Arabidopsis thaliana: one gene and its partners. The protein of the gene in region 1 interacts with the protein of each later gene in a pairwise test. Each region holds a gene or a part of one and is shown in the gene's direction. Other genes may lie near its edges. The genes, in order: PERK15, CaS, TH7 and AT1G11940.

The links.
Region 2: the proteins of PERK15 (region 1) and CaS interact in a protein complementation assay, tested with the Arabidopsis thaliana proteins (one large-scale study listed by BioGRID).
Region 3: the proteins of PERK15 (region 1) and TH7 interact in a protein complementation assay, tested with the Arabidopsis thaliana proteins (one large-scale study listed by BioGRID).
Region 4: the proteins of PERK15 (region 1) and AT1G11940 interact in a protein complementation assay, tested with the Arabidopsis thaliana proteins (one large-scale study listed by BioGRID).

Annotation. Positions count from the first base shown.
Region 1 is NC_003070.9:19,469,215-19,474,445, reverse strand, and holds PERK15 (Protein kinase superfamily protein), read left to right. Parts: upstream 1-1,863; 5' UTR 1,864-2,083; coding exon 2,084-2,420; intron 2,421-2,497; coding exon 2,498-2,848; intron 2,849-2,933; coding exon 2,934-3,020; intron 3,021-3,102; coding exon 3,103-3,173; intron 3,174-3,250; coding exon 3,251-3,327; intron 3,328-3,416; coding exon 3,417-3,567; coding exon of another isoform or gene 3,568-3,632; coding exon 3,633-3,794; intron 3,795-3,901; coding exon 3,902-4,195; 3' UTR 4,196-4,626; downstream 4,627-5,231. Other genes in the region: RABG3d (RAB GTPase homolog G3D), read left to right, coding at 4,997-5,049, 5,140-5,166.
Region 2 is NC_003076.8:7,735,974-7,740,369, reverse strand, and holds CaS (calcium sensing receptor), read left to right. Parts: upstream 1-1,834; 5' UTR 1,835-1,957; coding exon 1,958-2,173; intron 2,174-2,255; coding exon 2,256-2,501; intron 2,502-2,600; coding exon 2,601-2,793; intron 2,794-2,943; coding exon 2,944-3,085; intron 3,086-3,164; coding exon 3,165-3,296; coding exon of another isoform or gene 3,297-3,300; exon of another isoform or gene 3,301-3,375; coding exon 3,376-3,610; 3' UTR 3,611-3,852; downstream 3,853-4,396. UniProt on the Arabidopsis thaliana protein: Modulates cytoplasmic Ca(2+) concentration and is crucial for proper stomatal regulation in response to elevated levels of external Ca(2+).
Region 3 is NC_003070.9:21,952,050-21,955,321, reverse strand, and holds TH7 (thioredoxin H-type 7), read left to right. Parts: upstream 1-1,841; 5' UTR 1,842-1,929; coding exon 1,930-2,064; intron 2,065-2,227; coding exon 2,228-2,350; intron 2,351-2,431; coding exon 2,432-2,563; 3' UTR 2,564-2,725; downstream 2,726-3,272. Other genes in the region: AT1G59725 (DNAJ heat shock family protein), read right to left, coding at 3,112-3,272. UniProt on the Arabidopsis thaliana protein: Probable thiol-disulfide oxidoreductase that may be involved in the redox regulation of a number of cytosolic enzymes.
Region 4 is NC_003070.9:4,031,006-4,036,074, reverse strand, and holds AT1G11940 (Core-2/I-branching beta-1,6-N-acetylglucosaminyltransferase family protein), read left to right. Parts: upstream 1-1,919; 5' UTR 1,920-2,128; coding exon 2,129-2,416; intron 2,417-2,498; coding exon 2,499-2,615; intron 2,616-2,690; coding exon 2,691-2,791; intron 2,792-2,915; coding exon 2,916-2,987; intron 2,988-3,117; coding exon 3,118-3,199; intron 3,200-3,346; coding exon 3,347-3,427; intron 3,428-3,527; coding exon 3,528-3,569; coding exon of another isoform or gene 3,570-3,605; exon of another isoform or gene 3,606-3,760; coding exon 3,761-3,817; intron 3,818-3,908; coding exon 3,909-4,055; intron 4,056-4,142; coding exon 4,143-4,307; 3' UTR 4,308-4,541; downstream 4,542-5,069. Other genes in the region: AT1G11950 (Transcription factor jumonji (jmjC) domain-containing protein), read left to right, coding at 1-271, 352-633, 709-781, 864-949, 1,030-1,149, 1,254-1,328.

The DNA of each region.
Region 1 (5,231 bases):
GGATAATATGCTAAGAGTTCTATAATATGTATCTTTGTGACCAATTAAAAATGTGGTATGTATTTGGTTGAACCTAAGTGATCGTTACAAAACATCGAAAACATTTATTTTCTTTAAAACCTAAAATACATTTGATCTAGTGATAGCGAAGCGAATTGTAGAATAAGCGGATTAAATAATAGGGTGTGATTAGTTTTGAACAAGCGAAGTAGAATAATGTATAAAAGGTAAGAGTAGTTTTGAAAATGGATATTCTAAAAATGAAATTTCTCAAATATTCTACAAAAACTTATGTAAAAAATGTTTTTTTAACACTGGATGACAATTCTTTGAACCACACCACACCTAATTTTTTTTTTCTTCCTCGTTTTGAACGTAACAAAAATTATTTTGCATAACTCAACCTATAAAGAACCAACAAAAACAACCATTGTGTGAAACCCAAGAAAAAAAAAAATGCATTTCTTTGTTGACTCTTGGTTATCACAAAATGGTTCGTGTTGTTTGCTGTTTTGCAATTTACTATTGAGCTGTGACTTGAAATTTGATATGGTTTAATTCGAAGTTGTTTTGGTTTCTATTCGTACCAAAGACAAATACGATTATTTTTCCCAATTAACCTTATCATTAAAATGATCTTGAGATTGCATTGCCAAATCTATATAAATTTTTTTGATGCATAACAAAGCAATGGATTTCCATTATTAGTAATCCTTGATTCACAGATTTTGTCTTGAAAACATTGTTGGATGAGATTTCGTTTTGTGTTTTTCCTTGTGAAAACGTAATTGTTTTCGGTTATTATATTTCTTCTGTCAAATATATATGGTTCCTGATAATTGCTTCCATTGATTACCTACTTGTCGTCCGTACCCTACCACATTAATTGTTTTTCTTTTTATTATGTAAATGATTAACATAAAAAAAACTCCGGAAGCATAGGATTGGTTAATAAACCGGGTATCTGGCTGGCTTCACCGCGTACAATTTATTGAGCAAACAAAAAATAGAAGGAGAATGCATATACCAAGATACAATACTTGGAAAATGATGTGGAATTAGTTGTTCAAAGAATTCAATAATTCTCAACTTGATGGGTACCTTAGGGAGAGATACAATCCACAAACCAAAGATCACGGTAAATAGTAGTACTAGTATGTTTTTTCATATCTTTTGTTGGTCCCTTTGATTCTTTTTTACTTTTAAAGACAAAAAAATTAATGGCAGACAAGACAATGTGAATATACTTATGTAGTCGTGCTTGTTTTTATACAGTAGTAAGTATAAATTTGATTAGATAATTTTACTATATACATTATAATATTAATTTTACAAAATAAATTTGATTTATAGTTTTAAAAAAATTTTAGTTATAAAAACACCATAAAAATTAGATCTAAAAATTATTTTCATGAAATCGGATTTTTCCGAAACAATTTTACTGTGGATTAGAAAGTCGGAATTTGATTCCATCGATTTTTTATTTTTTTATTTTTTGCAAAAAAATCCGATCGAATTGAATATTTACTAGACTAATTTTTTTTGGCTGGACTAGTTTTTCTCTAAAATTAGTCAAACTTGAAAATATAGGCTAGTTTAGTCCGTATAAAATAAGTTCTAATTTGACATATTGTATCGAGTCATCCAAAATCATATAAAAAATTGTGTATAAAAATTTTAAAATTTTTTTTTTAAAAAAAAAAAGCAAAAAAGTTGACTTATATGGTAAATTTTTCTTAAAGATTCTAAAAATCATTAGTAAATTTTATTATTTTAAAAATGTTGACTTAATGATTATATTTTTAAATAAAAAACATAAGATGAATTTGGCTCTTTATTAGTTCTTCTTTTGATGGTTGGTAAGTGTTAACTGACTAACTGAGAAACAGAGTGACGAGAGAATTAAAGAGACACTTGCCAGAAGAACAAATCTCTCAAGTGGGACGGGACCCACCGCATGTCCCTTTCTTCATTCTCCTTCGTCTTCGTCTTCTTCGTCTTCGTCTTCGTCTTCACTTCCGCCATGAGAAAAACCTGCACACACGCCTGAAAAACCAAATCATCCTCATCATCTTCTGATCTAATGTCTACCGACACTATCCCTTCCCTCTCATCTCCACCGGCGCCGGAGTTTCCTTCCACCACACCAGACACGGCGACGTCACCAGCTCCGTCTCAGCCATCCATCATCGGACCTTCTTCGTTGGCTCCGTTTCCGGAGACAACAACAAACATTGATGGAGGCTCGAGAAATGTAGCATTAACTGGACTTATTACTGGAGTAGTTCTCGGAGCTACGTTTGTCCTACTCGGAGTTTGTATCTTTGTCTGTTTCTATAAAAGAAAGAAGAGGAAGTTAAAGAAGAAGAAGAAAGAAGATATCGAAGCTTCTATTAACAGAGACTCACTAGATCCCAAAGGTACTTTATTTAGGGTTTCTTTATTTCCAAAGACTCAATCTTTTTTTAATGATTATTCAATTCCTCTGTTTTTGTAGATGATAGCAATAATCTTCAGCAATGGAGTTCATCAGAGATTGGACAAAACTTGTTTACATATGAAGATTTGTCTAAAGCAACTAGTAACTTCTCCAACACTAACCTTCTTGGACAAGGTGGGTTTGGTTATGTTCATAGAGGAGTTCTTGTTGATGGAACTTTGGTTGCTATTAAGCAGCTTAAATCTGGAAGTGGACAAGGTGAACGAGAGTTTCAAGCTGAGATACAGACTATTAGTAGAGTTCATCATAGGCATCTTGTTTCTCTTCTTGGTTATTGTATCACTGGTGCTCAAAGATTGCTTGTTTATGAGTTTGTGCCTAATAAGACTCTCGAATTTCATTTACACGGTGAGTTTTTTTTAAAAGACTTGTTTTCAGTTATGCTTGCGTGAATTCCCGCAGTTTTGTTTGAATTATGGTGGTTGTTTTGTAGAGAAAGAGAGACCGGTAATGGAGTGGTCAAAGAGGATGAAGATTGCTTTGGGTGCAGCTAAAGGATTGGCATACTTACATGAAGATTGTGAGTATAATGTTCTTGTCTTTGAGTATTGTACAACATTAGTTTCTGAAGTTTTTGTCAAGGAGATTTTGTTTTGTTTCAGGTAATCCTAAGACAATACACCGCGATGTCAAGGCTGCAAATATTCTAATTGACGATAGCTATGAGGCGAAGGTATTCTTGAACTTGTAAAACTATATAAAAATGTTGTTTAGACTGCACTACTAATAATGCTGAACTTGGTTCATCAGTTAGCAGATTTTGGACTTGCCAGGTCTTCTTTAGACACTGATACTCATGTCTCCACTCGGATTATGGGAACCTTCGGGTACGAAACACTCTTTTCTATACGCAACCATAACCATAATAAGTTCATAACATACTAACAATCTTTTAAACTTCTTTCTTGTGATGCAGTTACTTGGCTCCTGAATATGCTTCTTCAGGGAAACTTACTGAGAAATCAGATGTCTTCTCAATTGGAGTGGTGCTTCTTGAACTGATAACCGGACGCCGTCCTGTTGATAAATCACAGCCTTTTGCTGATGATGATAGCATCGTTGATTGGGTTGGTTATCTTGTTTCCCTTACCACCACTTTTAATAAGCTTTTAAACTTTACCTCATGCTCTAGGCAAAACCTCTGATGATACAAGCGTTAAACGATGGAAACTTTGACGGTCTTGTTGACCCGCGGTTAGAGAATGATTTTGATATCAACGAAATGACGAGAATGGTTGCTTGCGCTGCTGCTAGTGTCCGTCATTCAGCTAAACGTCGCCCAAAAATGAGCCAGGTACTAACTATCACATCAAAACCTTTTGGCAACATTCAATCTAACACTAGGATAAAAAATGAAACTTTGTGAGTTCAATGGTGTCATTGTTCTTTGGACAATTGCAGATAGTTCGAGCATTCGAAGGAAATATATCTATAGATGACCTAACAGAAGGAGCTGCCCCAGGACAAAGTACTATTTACAGCTTAGACGGGAGCTCAGATTATAGCTCAACACAATACAAAGAAGACTTGAAGAAATTCAAGAAAATGGCGTTCGAAAGCAAAACATTTGGTAGCAGCGAATGCAGTGGTTTGACTAGCGACAATGGTCAGAACCCATCAGGCTCGTCTAGTATCACCGAAGGCCAACGTACAACGCAGGAGATCGAACCGGAGAAGAATACCAAGGACACATGAACTTTAAACAGAGGATTCTTGGTAATAGTTAAGTCTTATCATTTTGGGGTAGGACCCGTAGGTTTAGGTGTAAAACACATTATTCATTAGACGCGCTTTCACTTTTAATTATTTCCATGTGTGGCTCTAATCGAAACTGTCATGAGCCTGATATTGCACGTGAATATTATTTGTTGGAGATTTTTTTGAGTTTGGTGTGAAGATATTAAATTAGATTCAATCAAAGACTTTATGATTCTTAATTATTTTTTGGCCGTGATATATTATTTGAGTGGAAAGTTATTTTTAACATCTTTGATTCTTTTTTTAAAGCATGTTTTCTTTTGTTATCCATGCAACTTTGAAGAAATTGTTTTTTTTTTTGCAAATGAAATCCCATATATATATTAACCGATTTTAGATTCAGAGAAATAATATTTTTATAAGCATGGTGTTTGATTTTTGGTTGAAGGAGTAATTATTAGTATAGTTAGTACATAAGTCAATGGTAATTAACAAAACATTTGATAAAGTAAACATAATTAGACCGTTTGAAGATTTCTTCAAGTATAATTAATTAATTTTTTAAATTGTTTATAATAAGATTAGTTAATGACTAATTAAAGGAGGGGCAATTTTGGGAAAATAAAAGATTTTAAAATAGTAACTTTGCTGTTATTTAGCTAATACAGTATATACTTTTTCTGTAAATCACACGAAGAAGAAGAACCAAAAGAGAGAGATTGTGAAAGAAGAAAACAGAGACAGTTTCTTCGCTGAAAAGAAAAACCAAATCAGCTAAATCCCTAAAAGTTTCCGTCAATGTCTTCTCGCCGGAGAGTTCTTCTCAAGGTTATCATTCTCGGTGATAGCGGGTAAATTCTCTCATCTCTTCAGATTTCAGATTTGATGTGGTTTTATTTGTTCATTGAATGATGAGATTTTGATTCTTTTTTTATGGCCAGTGTTGGGAAGACTTCGTTGATGAATCAGTATGTTTCTGAAATCCAGATCTATGTGTCTCTTACTTAGAACATTGATAAATTCCTTATGAAAT
Region 2 (4,396 bases), on another chromosome or scaffold:
CAATTATCATATGTGTTTTTGTTTGTAGTCATGTCTTCATAATTGACTCATATTCTTAAATCTTACAACTTCAGTTTTGTCTTAACTTTTTTTTTTTATTGATCTGTTTTTTAACAATGGTCCTGAATTCTGATGATGCAGTTTTACTTTTGGTTTACATGTATGTATCAAGGTTTGTGTTCCATATGGTCTTTCTTCATCTAGCATTTTTGTTTTTGTTTGTTGAGCCACTGAATCCAACTTGTACTTCTTCAGCTTTGCAGATTAGTAGATCGGTTTTTTTCCTGGCTATGTCTTTTGTCACTACAGACCCTCAACGCTAATTTTGTTCCTGAGCATGGCTATGTTGTTATGAGTTCCTGATATGAAATTTGCTGTGATCTCTTGGTTTCTTGATGCAATGTGTGCTTTTGCTTACTTCTCTGGCTCTTTTAAGTATTACCTACATAGACATTGCATAATTCTAAAACCTTTGCTTTTGCATTACTATGTTCATTCTTGGCAAGTGATAAGGAATCCACGTAGAATAGTATAATACAATCAAAAACTTTGATACATTGCGCAATGAGTGCGTGATGATAACCCTTTAATCAGGATCCAAGTGGTGATATTCACTGATTAATAACCTTCTAGAGAGCCATGCTATACTTCTTGTTCTTTTCGTATTACTATTTATGAAACTGGCTGTTCAAGAAGAATCAAATTCACTCCTTAAACTTTCTTGTTGTAAAAGACACTTTTGTTATAAGTCATTGGTCTTCCTGTGTCCTCTCTTTTTTTCCCTCACCTTTGGCAGCACAGAGAAAAGGTGAGGGAATCTTGTGAAGTGAAAGGATTCCTTAGCTCGTGGGTTTTAAAATTCCTTGGAGCAAAACTTCAAATGGTATCATGATTCCATTTTCAAATTAGGTAAGAAAAGGAGAATCTTGTTCTTTTTCAAGATCAAGACTTGTTATCTTTCTTATATTCCTCACACAAGAGGGGCTGTTAAAATATGAGAAAATACTGTTTCTCTACAATGTTCTTATATAGAATTTGTGATGATGGTAGCACTACTAATAATATGATACCACTCTCTAGGCTGATGCTTTAACAAACATGAACTTAATAGCATAGTTTAAATGGTGAGCTTGCTTGTTTTAAGGTCTAGTAATGGTACTACTATACATTTTGTGGAATTATATACTTGTAAATGCTATGGAACTAGTGATCATGTGTGTTTGCTCGTCTTCCTTCAATCATGGGAAAGTTAATAAAGTGAGTCTATAATTTTACTAGTAGACGGTTGACCAAGTGTAGGTAGTTTACTTCACTTGATCAGCATGCTCAAATCTGTTCAAATTTTTAGGAGAGTAAACAGGAACCACAAGAACGGAACCTAAACCAACATCAGTCCAATTTAAGATACTTGGTTTTGTACGGAATGAAGTTTAATAGCAGTTTTCGGTCTTGGTTCATACAAGATGATGTTTATTGGCTTTGATTGGTAACACAATTTGAGGCGCTTGGAGCGGAGGTTGAACCGCTTCTTTGATTACCAATCGAACTGATGGAACTCATTGTTAGAAGAGGCGGCTAAAACAGATAGCTACTTCGTGTACAACCATAAGCATGTTTCAATGTACAGTATTCATTTTTTGTTGCTCTTATTCTGTAGTACACCTCTGATATTACTGCTACAATGAAATTCTTGTACGACATATATCAAAGTATTGGATTGGCAACGAACGGCTAAGCTTTAACACAAAAATGCCACGTAGGATTAGTCTGACCAATAAGAATCCATCTTTCAAATCCCCTTCCTTCAATCTTAACCAGAAAACTCAATTTATTTATAATCTTTAGAAAAAGGTACTTGAAGAAACAGTTTGCAGACAACATTGAAGAGAAGCTCTAAAGATTCTTTGTCTCTTTCTCTGTCGCATTGATTTGTAAAAAAGTGTGGCAGAGAGAAACCATGGCTATGGCGGAAATGGCAACGAAGTCTTCACTATCTGCAAAACTCACTCTTCCTTCTTCTTCTACTAAGAAGACACTGAGTCTGAGACAAGTCTCTGTTTCACTTCCAACATCAACTTCAATCTCTCTGTTATCTCTCTTTGCATCTCCTCCTCATGAAGCTAAAGCTGCTGTTTCCATTCCCAAGGACCAAATCGTCTCCTCTCTCACTGAAGTATATATAATAATCTCACTTTACTTCTTGAAATGACCAAAATGTCTCCTTTTTGTTGATGAGTGTTCTTGTGTCTTAACAGGTGGAGAAAACAATCAACCAAGTTCAAGAAACTGGTTCTAGTGTATTTGATGCAACGCAGCGTGTGTTCCAAGTAGTAGGAGATGCTCTTAAACCAGCTTTGGACACTGCTTTACCCATTGCAAAGCAAGCTGGTGAAGAAGCTATGAAGCTTGCTTCTCCTGCTTTCTCTGAAGCTTCAAAGAAAGCTCAAGAAGCAATGCAGAGCTCTGGTTTTGATTCTGAGCCTGTCTTTAATGCTGCAAAGGTCAGATTTCTTACATTCAAATATGTATGAGAACATAACAATTTAGGTTTTGGGGTTTAGGGTTTGAAGTGGTTTGTCTGTGTTTTGGTTGGGATGTAGACAGTAACAGATGTAGCACAACAGACGTCAAAAGCGATAGAAGATGCTAAACCGATTGCTTCATCGACCATGGATACGATTTCTTCAGCTGACCCTAGTGTCATTGTTGTTGCTGCTGGTGCTGCGTTTCTTGCTTACCTTCTTCTCCCTCCTGTTTTCTCTGCCATCTCTTTTAACTTCCGTGGTTACAAAGGTACCTCAAGACTCCATATAGATCATCTTGAGAACATATATAAGTTTTTGATTTGGTTATTAGTGATCTATTTTGTATCTAGAGTCTAATTCACCATAGCAAAATGCTGACAATTACTCTGTGTTTCTGGTTTGTGTTTTTTTAATAAAGGTGATCTTACGCCGGCTCAAACGCTTGACCTTCTTTGCACCAAGAACTACTTGATGGTGGATATAAGATCAGAGAAAGACAAGGAGAAAGCCGGGATTCCACGGCTCCCTTCGAATGCTAAGAACCGCGTGATCTCCATTCCGTATGTGTCTATCTAACTTTGATAATTCTTTTCATTATTATTATACTCAAAACATTGAACCTGTTCTTGTGATTATCAGATTAGAAGAACTACCAAACAAAGTAAAAGGAATCGTGAGGAACTCTAAACGAGTTGAAGCAGAGATAGCAGCATTAAAGATTTCTTACCTCAAGAAAATCAACAAAGGCTCCAATATCATCATCTTGGACTCGTGAGTTTTGATTATTACTCTTTTACAAGACCTTTTTTGTGAATCTTGCTTAATCTTTATTGGTCTTTTTGGCTCGTAGGTACACGGATTCGGCTAAGATAGTGGCGAAAACGTTAAAGGTTCTCGGGTACAAGAATTGCTATATTGTGACAGATGGATTCTCTGGTGGCAGAGGATGGTTGCAGAGCCGTTTAGGCACTGATTCTTACAACTTCTCGTTTGCACAAGTCTTGTCTCCATCGCGGATTATCCCGGCAGCTTCGAGAAGCTTTGGCACTAGGTCCGGAACCAAGTTCCTTCCTAGCTCCGACTGAAAACAGAGGATATATATAGTTTTACAAGTGTTGTTTAGTATTCCTTTATTTCTCAACTTTGAGAGATCTTTTGATAAGATAAGATTTTCGAATTACTTACTTACTTGTCTTTTACATTGATGATCATATATGGAAAAGATTACATCAAACTGAAGTAGTAGCTAATCATCTAAAAGAAAAAATGTATGATCAAAAACCGGGATGAGTTTGGCCTATAGTGGTAGGAAAAAATTGGGATAAAGACTAAATTCATAATGAGTTATGGACAACTAATTGTAATATCACATAGATGCACAATCATTTTGGACCATCTGGTAGGTGTGTGTGTGTGGCCTAGCCTTATCACTTAGTGGGATTGCCAATAGCTTTTTGCCGAAAATCCATTTTACAAATGGTTGAAGATAATAAAAATTAGACAAGTTTTTTTTTTTGTGGAGTTTAGTTTAGTGCTTTCAATCATGTGAAAACCAAGATATAAATTTTGAAAACTATTATAAATATTGTGCAATAGTTGAAGTATATACAAACTATTTTTAATCAAAATGTTGTCTAATTAATATTAATTGTAACACCGGTCACTCCGAATTGTAACAAAATTGTCTATTTTGCTAACGGATTCTACACCAAATTAAATAAAATTTATATAGACTAACATATATTGCTCTACTGATCCATACAATCTAAATTGATAGTGTATATAGACTGAAATCAATAAATAAAAGACATAAACCAAATAAGATGATGATCAAAAGTCGAAAAGAGAAAGCAAAAAAAAAAGGTGTAAGA
Region 3 (3,272 bases), 2.5 Mb from region 1:
CTTGCACTTGTATTTAAGAATCGTTTCTTCTGCTCTTGTATCTTTTTCACACTTTCTGTTTGCAAAAATATAACTAACTTTATTGAACTATTATACAGAACTATTTTATAAGTAACTGTAATATATTGCTTAGTAGCAGAAAAGTAAATACAGAGGTATTGAACTAATTGTGTTACTCTTCCTACATAAATTAAAAAGAGAGAAAATCAACAATATAAAATTGTATGGATACGATTTCATGGAATAAAATTCTTTAGATTGTGGAAAAACTTATATTAGAATCTTTATAGATCGAGCTAGGAATAAAGAAATATGTGGGTAGCAGAACTCATGCAACCTTTAAGAAAGTCATGTGTAATATTATCGATAAATTATGATTAAAAAATGAATAAATTCAAAGGCAAAATCTAAATTAAAAACGATTTTCTACACATGTTTAAATATCTAAACGTGATTAGTTTACTTTATGAATTACCAGTACAATAAATATTTGAGAATTCTTTTAAGTCTTAAACTACACAATTCCAAAATTCCAAATACAGTAAAAGTAAGGGAAAGAAAGTCTTAGGAAGGGTACTTACAAATTTAAGAAGTATTCCTTAATGTTTTCAGTTTTCTAAAAAACTTGTTGTATTTCTTTGATAACGCCTTCATATATATATATATATAATATATATATATGCATATTTTGATCCCAACATATATATATTTAATGTTTTATAAAGCATACTTTGATGCAACATTTCTACAAGTTTTTTTTAGTTCTTATAAAACAGTGGTGTTTCAATTTTATTAGAAATCAGACCAAAAAATGGTTTCAAATTAATATTTGCAAATCGAGATCTTAAACCCCAACAATATGTTCTAAAATTTAAGATATTCGAGCATCACCGAACTGTATTTTTGAATCAGCATTCCTAGTTCCTTGAGAATGAGAATTATAAGAGGATGATGTGAAAGTTTATGGGCAAAAAGTTAAAGATGATGTTCGTGGCTACGACGTGCATTTCTTGTCCCCCAGTATCGAATAAATTGTTAATTTCAAACTCATTTTCGACAATGATTCCTATAAGTACTGAAATGGAATAAGAAGGACCTTGAGGAAGAATTTGATGACAGCTTCTTTTTAACACAAATCAATATTCTTACACACGGACACACCAAACAACATTACAAATTTACAATGACATGCATGGTCATTTTGCAAATTTTTTTCTCGTTTTATTCTAATCTAATTTCGTTCTGTAAAGTTTTATGTAAATGTAAATTAAAGATTTCAGTAAAGACATAAGAGTATCACCATCAATTAGGAAAAAAATAAAAATGAGTTCTCATTAGAAACTCTCCTGCCATGTGACATTTTTATTTTTATAGTAATTAATAGCATTAATATTATATAGGTATTAGATCCTTGAAGTGGATGGTGCATATATTATTTAAACAAAACAAATTTTAACTACTTTTAATTTATAGCGTTGACAATAACTAATTAATCTAAACTAATAAATCAAGTACCTAGGCTACCATTTTTTAATTAGAAAATCGATCCGCCGCGGATTGTTATCCACCCACAAAAATAAAAAATTCGTTTGCAAATGTGATAGGCAAGCTAGTTCCTTGCAACCAGCTATATTTTTATGTAGTGGAGAATATTTAACAACTAACTGGAATTTTAAAAACACAAAGCGAAACTAAATTGGTATAAGCTATATATTCTTGAAAAAATAAAAAAATCAACGGCTAGAACTAAAGAAGGATAGCAAATTGAATCATATTCCTTTGCATTTACTTATTTATTTATAACCAACAAATTAAGTTCTCCGATTAAAAGCTATATAATGCTCCTCCTTGTCTCTCTTCTTTGCATATCAGTATATCACTAGCAAATAAGTGAACACCATTTCTTCATACATACACATTCCGAAGATAATGGGTTCCAATGTTTCATCTGTGCATGATGTTCATTCATCAATGGAAATTACCAGTAATGGATTTGTTGTGGAAATCGAATCAAGAAGACAATGGAAATCTCTCTTTGATTCCATGAAAGGCTCAAACAAATTGGTATACATTACTCGAAAACTACCTAAAACGTATTAAATTTTTTTAACCAAACTTATAATGTTTGTTTTAAATCTTATACTATTTGTGTTTTCTAATTTTGTTTACAAGTAAATGACATGTTTTTTCTCTTAAACTAACTGAAAAAATTATTGTGGTTTTGAAGCTAGTAATTGATTTCACAGCTGTATGGTGTGGACCTTGTAAAGCAATGGAACCTAGAGTTAGGGAGATTGCTTCAAAGTACTCAGAAGCTGTGTTTGCTAGGGTTGATGTGGATAGGCTAATGGTAATTACTCTTTTTTTTTATTACTTGAAGAAGAATCATCTTATGGTTTCAAGACTAAGCTATAATTGGTATGTATTCCAGGATGTGGCTGGGACATATAGAGCTATTACACTTCCAGCTTTTGTTTTTGTGAAGAGAGGAGAAGAGATTGATAGGGTTGTTGGAGCCAAACCTGATGAGCTCGTGAAGAAGATTGAACAACATAGGGTTTAAGTTTTTTCTTTTCCCTTACAAAAAAATGATTATTATACTTTTGAATGTCTGTTCTGAATTGATTGTTTGAAGTTGGGTTTCTGGTTTGTTGTTTAATTTCTCAAAACAATATAAATAATAATGTCAAAAATGAAAACAATTAACAAAAATGTTGTAGTTATATTTGTATGAAATCTAATCACCCCAACGTAAGCAAAACAACATAACAATGGTAATGTGAGTATGGCGACTAAAAGAACTATACCATAAAAAAAAAAAAAAAAGAGTCCCATTCCAAGTATATGTTAAAATACTAAATGGAAAAAAACAAACGTTACATAACATTTTCGAAGAGCTTGTATGAAGTTGAGAGTTACATATATAACTTATGAAAGCAGAATAAATTAGATAACAACAAAGATAGCTTTTACAACAAAAAACAATCAATTCTGCTTACTATTTCGTGATCAAGATATGAGATCAAAAACGAAAACCGATCAATTCTGTATATGTATGTACACTGAATTGACCTTTTGAATTCAAGAGCTTTCTTGAAACTAGTTGCCAATTCAGCTACCACCAAGAACTCTCTTGAGATCTGTCTTCTGTTCCGATGTTAGCCTCGAGGGGAAACATATCTCAAAGTTGATTCTTAGATCTCCTCTCTTTGAACCTTCTTTAGAGATGGGCATTCCTTCACTAGGAATCACTATCTCCTGACCCGGTTTAA
Region 4 (5,069 bases), about 15 Mb from region 1:
CTTCTGGCCTGAGATGCTGAAGCTGAAGGATTGGCCTCCTTCAGACAAGTTTGAAAACCTTTTACCTCGTCACTGCGATGAGTTCATTTCCGCATTACCATTTCAAGAATACAGCGATCCTAGATCAGGAATTCTCAACATTGCTACAAAACTTCCTGAAGGACTTCTTAAACCAGATCTTGGTCCAAAAACTTATGTTGCATATGGGACTTCAGATGAGCTCGGTAGAGGAGATTCAGTCACTAAGCTTCACTGTGATATGTCAGATGCTGTAAGTTTCAGAATTGTTACTTAGTACTGTTAAATAATAATACGGTTTCTCAGGTGTATAACGGTTTTTTGTTTTTGTAGGTTAATATTCTGATGCATACTGCTGAAGTAACACTAAGTGAGGAGCAAAGGTCTGCAATTGCAGATTTGAAACAGAAACATAAGCAACAGAATGAGAAAGAGCTTCAGGAGCAAAATGGTTTAGAGGAAGAAGAGGTTGTGAGTGATGAGATTGTGGTTTATGATGAAACAAGTGGTGCACTTTGGGACATCTTTAAAAGAGAAGATGTTCCTAAGCTTGAAGAGTATCTAAGGAAGCATTGCATAGAATTCAGACATACTTATTGCTCTCGTGTTACAAAGGTAAGAAATAATCCACAAAACGTTTTCAGTTCCGAGTCTTAGAGGTTATTGTGCTGATAGGATTCTTTATGTTAGGTGTATCATCCAATACATGATCAGTCATATTTCTTAACCGTGGAGCATAAAAGAAAACTCAAGGCAGAATTTGGTATGGTTACTTGTAACTGTAGTAACTGTCACTTACCGACATTGTATTCTTACGTTTTTGTGTTTGTTTGTTTGAACTAAAGGGATTGAGCCATGGACATTTGTGCAAAAGCTAGGAGAAGCAGTGTTTATTCCAGCAGGTTGTCCTCATCAAGTTCGGAATCTCAAGGTTATTATTTGAATGGAAGCTGTCCTATTAACTAAACTTTTTCTCATTATCTTTAACTTGTATTATGGATTTTGATACAGTCGTGCACAAAGGTAGCTGTTGATTTTGTTTCCCCTGAAAACATCGATGAGTGTCTCCGTTTGACTGATGAGTTTCGACAACTCCCTAAGAACCATAAAGCCAGAGAAGACAAACTTGAGGTGATTCTTTTTCTGATATTTTCAATTTTGGATTAGCAACTTCTGTCAATGGATACAGTTTTGTTTGTAGTTGAATCTTGTTTTAATCTTTGCCATGTGAACAGATAAAAAAGATGGTGATCTATGCAGTTGAACAAGCTCTGAAAGAAGTGGAGACATTATTGCTAGATCGCAGCTAAAAGCTCTATAGCTTTGTTGTTGTAGGATTAACAGCAGATTTTGTAGAATTGTTAAAGCCATGGCTATTGTAGTTGGCTTTTGCTGTGATATATGTATGTAAAAGAGACAAGTGTCTCTTGAAAAGAATGATTTCCTTTTTTTCAAATGGGATTTTGATGTAACTTTTCCTTTTCCGGTCTGTTTTGGCATATGAATGAATATTTGATGTAAGCTTCTTTTGTATAGTTTTGTATCTTTACATCATTTTGAGAGCAAATGAAAGTTTATGATATGAGAGCATCATAGATTCATAGTAGCAAATACAATTGGTTCAGTTGTTGCTTGCAAATTTTTACTGCAGTAAATATGGATTGTTTTGTTTTCAAAGGTTTTAAAATGACTTAATACATTAATTTCCAAAGGTTTTGTTTTAAGGTATTTTTTTTTTTTTTCTAATTGTATAGAAGGAAATACAATAATTAATATTCCTAGTCAAATTGTATAATTTTCATACCATTTTCTGACAATTTCAATTTCGGACAACAATTTAATGATGTTCTAATTTAACGTGGGTCCCAACTAACTTAAAACGTGTACGTGGCTTACGACGTCGTTTACAAGTTTATACGTCGAACTATCAACATCATTCTACCTTTCTTTCTCTCTTTCTCTCAAAATCCAAAATGTTGTAATTTGCAATTCTTCAGTTTCCGTTTCTCTCCTGAGAAATTTATTGACTTCAAAAACCCTAAAAAGACTTGTGATTGTTCGTTTCTCTAACTCGAATGTTGATCGTACGACGGTGAGTGATCGTAGTACAATGACGAAGAAATCACAGCCGCAGATTCCGCCTCCATTGTCCCGTCGCGGCGGCGTCGTGTGGCTGGGATGGAAACTCGTAATCGCTTTCTCCGTCGCGCTTTGCCTTCTTGCTCTTCTTCGAATCCAACTACAGTACAATTCCTTCACGACATTGTCGTTTCCACTCTCCGTCGCGAGATCTCAGACACCGCTTCACAAATACTCCGGTGATCGTCCCAAGCTCGCTTTCCTTTTCTTAGCTCGCCGTGATCTCCCACTTGATTTTATGTGGGATAGATTCTTCAAGGTCAAAAAAGATTCTTAGTCCTATTAATACTTGTCCGTTATTCTAAATTTCGAAAAAATTGCTGATTCTGGTGATTTTGCAGGGAGTGGATCATGCGAATTTCTCAATTTATATACATTCAGTACCTGGTTTCGTGTTCAATGAAGAAACTACACGATCACAGTATTTCTATAATCGCCAATTGAACAATAGCATTAAGGTGAGTGTTCATGAGAATTTCTCCATTTGATGTTTTTTTATAGTGAAACTTAGGGTGGTGTTGTTATGGTTATAGGTAGTATGGGGAGAATCAAGCATGATTGAAGCAGAAAGATTGTTGCTTGCATCTGCTTTAGAGGATCACTCCAATCAAAGATTTGTTCTTCTCTCTGACAGGTTTGCTTCTTTCAGCATTACTCTTTCAGATCATCTTATGCCTGACCACTTATTGCATCTGACTTTGAGCACATTTGTGGTTTGTACGGACTTATTTCATTTTCATCTACTTTCTGTTTTGCAGATGTGCTCCATTATATGACTTTGGCTATATATACAAATATCTTATCTCTTCACCGAGGAGTTTTGTGGATAGGTAGATTGAAAGTCTGAATTTATGAGGTTTCTTAGTACTTCATACTTGATATATATGGCCTGATAACTGGTGTATTATAAGAGGAGTTGTCTAGATGTTGATAACTATGTTTGTTGCTCTCTATTGGCAGTTTTCTTCATACTAAAGAGACACGGTACAGTGTGAAAATGTCTCCTGTCATACCTGAAGAGAAATGGCGAAAAGGATCCCAGGTATCTTCATTTTCTTGCTTAGGAAATGAACATTGCTACCAAGATTTTTGAAGCCTGAGTTTCTTGTGAAAATTTAAGCATTAGGAGGATAGGGACCTTTTAAAGTTCATGAAGTTTTTAATCTCATCTTAGTTTTATCTATTGCAGTGGATAGCTTTGATCAGAAGTCATGCAGAGGTCATTGTAAATGATGGTATCGTATTCCCAGTTTTTAAGGAATTCTGCAAGGTAAAGATTAAGCTTTATGATCATGACTTTAATTTCAATCTTGATTCTTTGTTGCTGAAGAAACAATAACTTACTTCTTGATTTCTCTTTCGATTTGCAGAGATGTCCACCTTTAGGTACCAATGAGGCATGGTTGTTTCTTGTAAGTGCTATTTCAAAGTTGGTATTTTTCATTTAATACCAGCCTGAATGTTTATGTTGATTCTTTGTGTTGGTTTCAAAACAATCTCAACAGTGTCTTTTCTGTAGTCTATGAATACTTCTCTCCATTGATTAACCTCTTTCTTTATTAAACAAATGGGGAAACTTTTATTACGTTTGATGTGAACTCAGAAACAGAAGCGACGCAACTGCATCCCCGATGAACACTATGTGCAAACATTGCTTACGGTGACCATCATATCTGATACACATCTCTCTCATTTTTGTTTCCATCTAAAAAGTTCCATATTGTTAATGTATTACAAACTGACCATTTCAGATGCAAGGACTAGAGAGTGAAATGGAACGAAGAACAGTGACATACACTGTATGGAACGTTTCAGGTACAAAATATGAAGCCAAATCTTGGCATCCCGTCACTTTCACATTGGAAAACTCCGGCCCTGAGGAAATAAAAGAAATAAAGGTACAATCTTTTTGTTCAGAGGATTAATATCACAACCGAATGAATCCCTAAGTAATCTCTCTAGTTCTTTTGCTTTTCTCGGGACAGAAAATAGACCATGTCTATTACGAGTCTGAATCTCGAACGGAATGGTGTAAGGCGGATTCGAAACCCGTCCCATGCTTTCTCTTTGCAAGGAAGTTCACGAATGAAGCTGCTATGCGCATTGTGAGTGAAGGACTAATAGGATCATCAGCAAACAAAACCTTATAACTTTGCAACAGTGTAAGCAAGTAGGTCAAGCAACAGAGCGTATACATAGAGTAGGAATAGCATTGATACATTACAAACATCCCTCATGAGGTTTAATGGTTTATGATTATATATGACGCTTAGTAAAAACTAATAATCATTCTTCATGGATAATCTTGTGTTTGGGTGTTAAAATTTCTATGTGTATATGTCTGAAGAAACTGGCTTCGATTAATAGAATATGTTAATAGCAAATTCTACTCTGGATTGATGTCTTTTACTCATTCTCCTGGAAATTGTTAAAAAAAAACTAAAATTTTCAAGGACTCGAACACACAATAATGAAGTACATAAACACTTAACCAAAACAAACTTTTTAAACAAGTGACCTTACATTTTTCTTTATAGTTGGTAGCGTAAAGCACATGTTTTGGTTGCTTTATGGGCGGACTGGGCCTAGTTCGTCGGAATTCTAAGCTTCTTTTGCAAATCTGATGATTCCATAGAAATGAGTCAAACGACGAGCCGTTGGACGGTAGTTGAGCTCAATTGGGCCACATTTTTTGAAAAAATTTGTTCACTAAAATTAGCTTAAAAAAAACATTTTTTTAATTGGGCTACAACAATGCAATTATTCCAAATCCATAGTATTGGCATTGTCATTTTTATAAAAATCTCTCTGAATCTTTTAAGTTCAAAAATCTTAACCATTAAAAAAATTCCCAACCGACTCGAGCTAAGCCTAGCAATCATAAAAAAAGGAAAACTTCCATTAACGAAAAC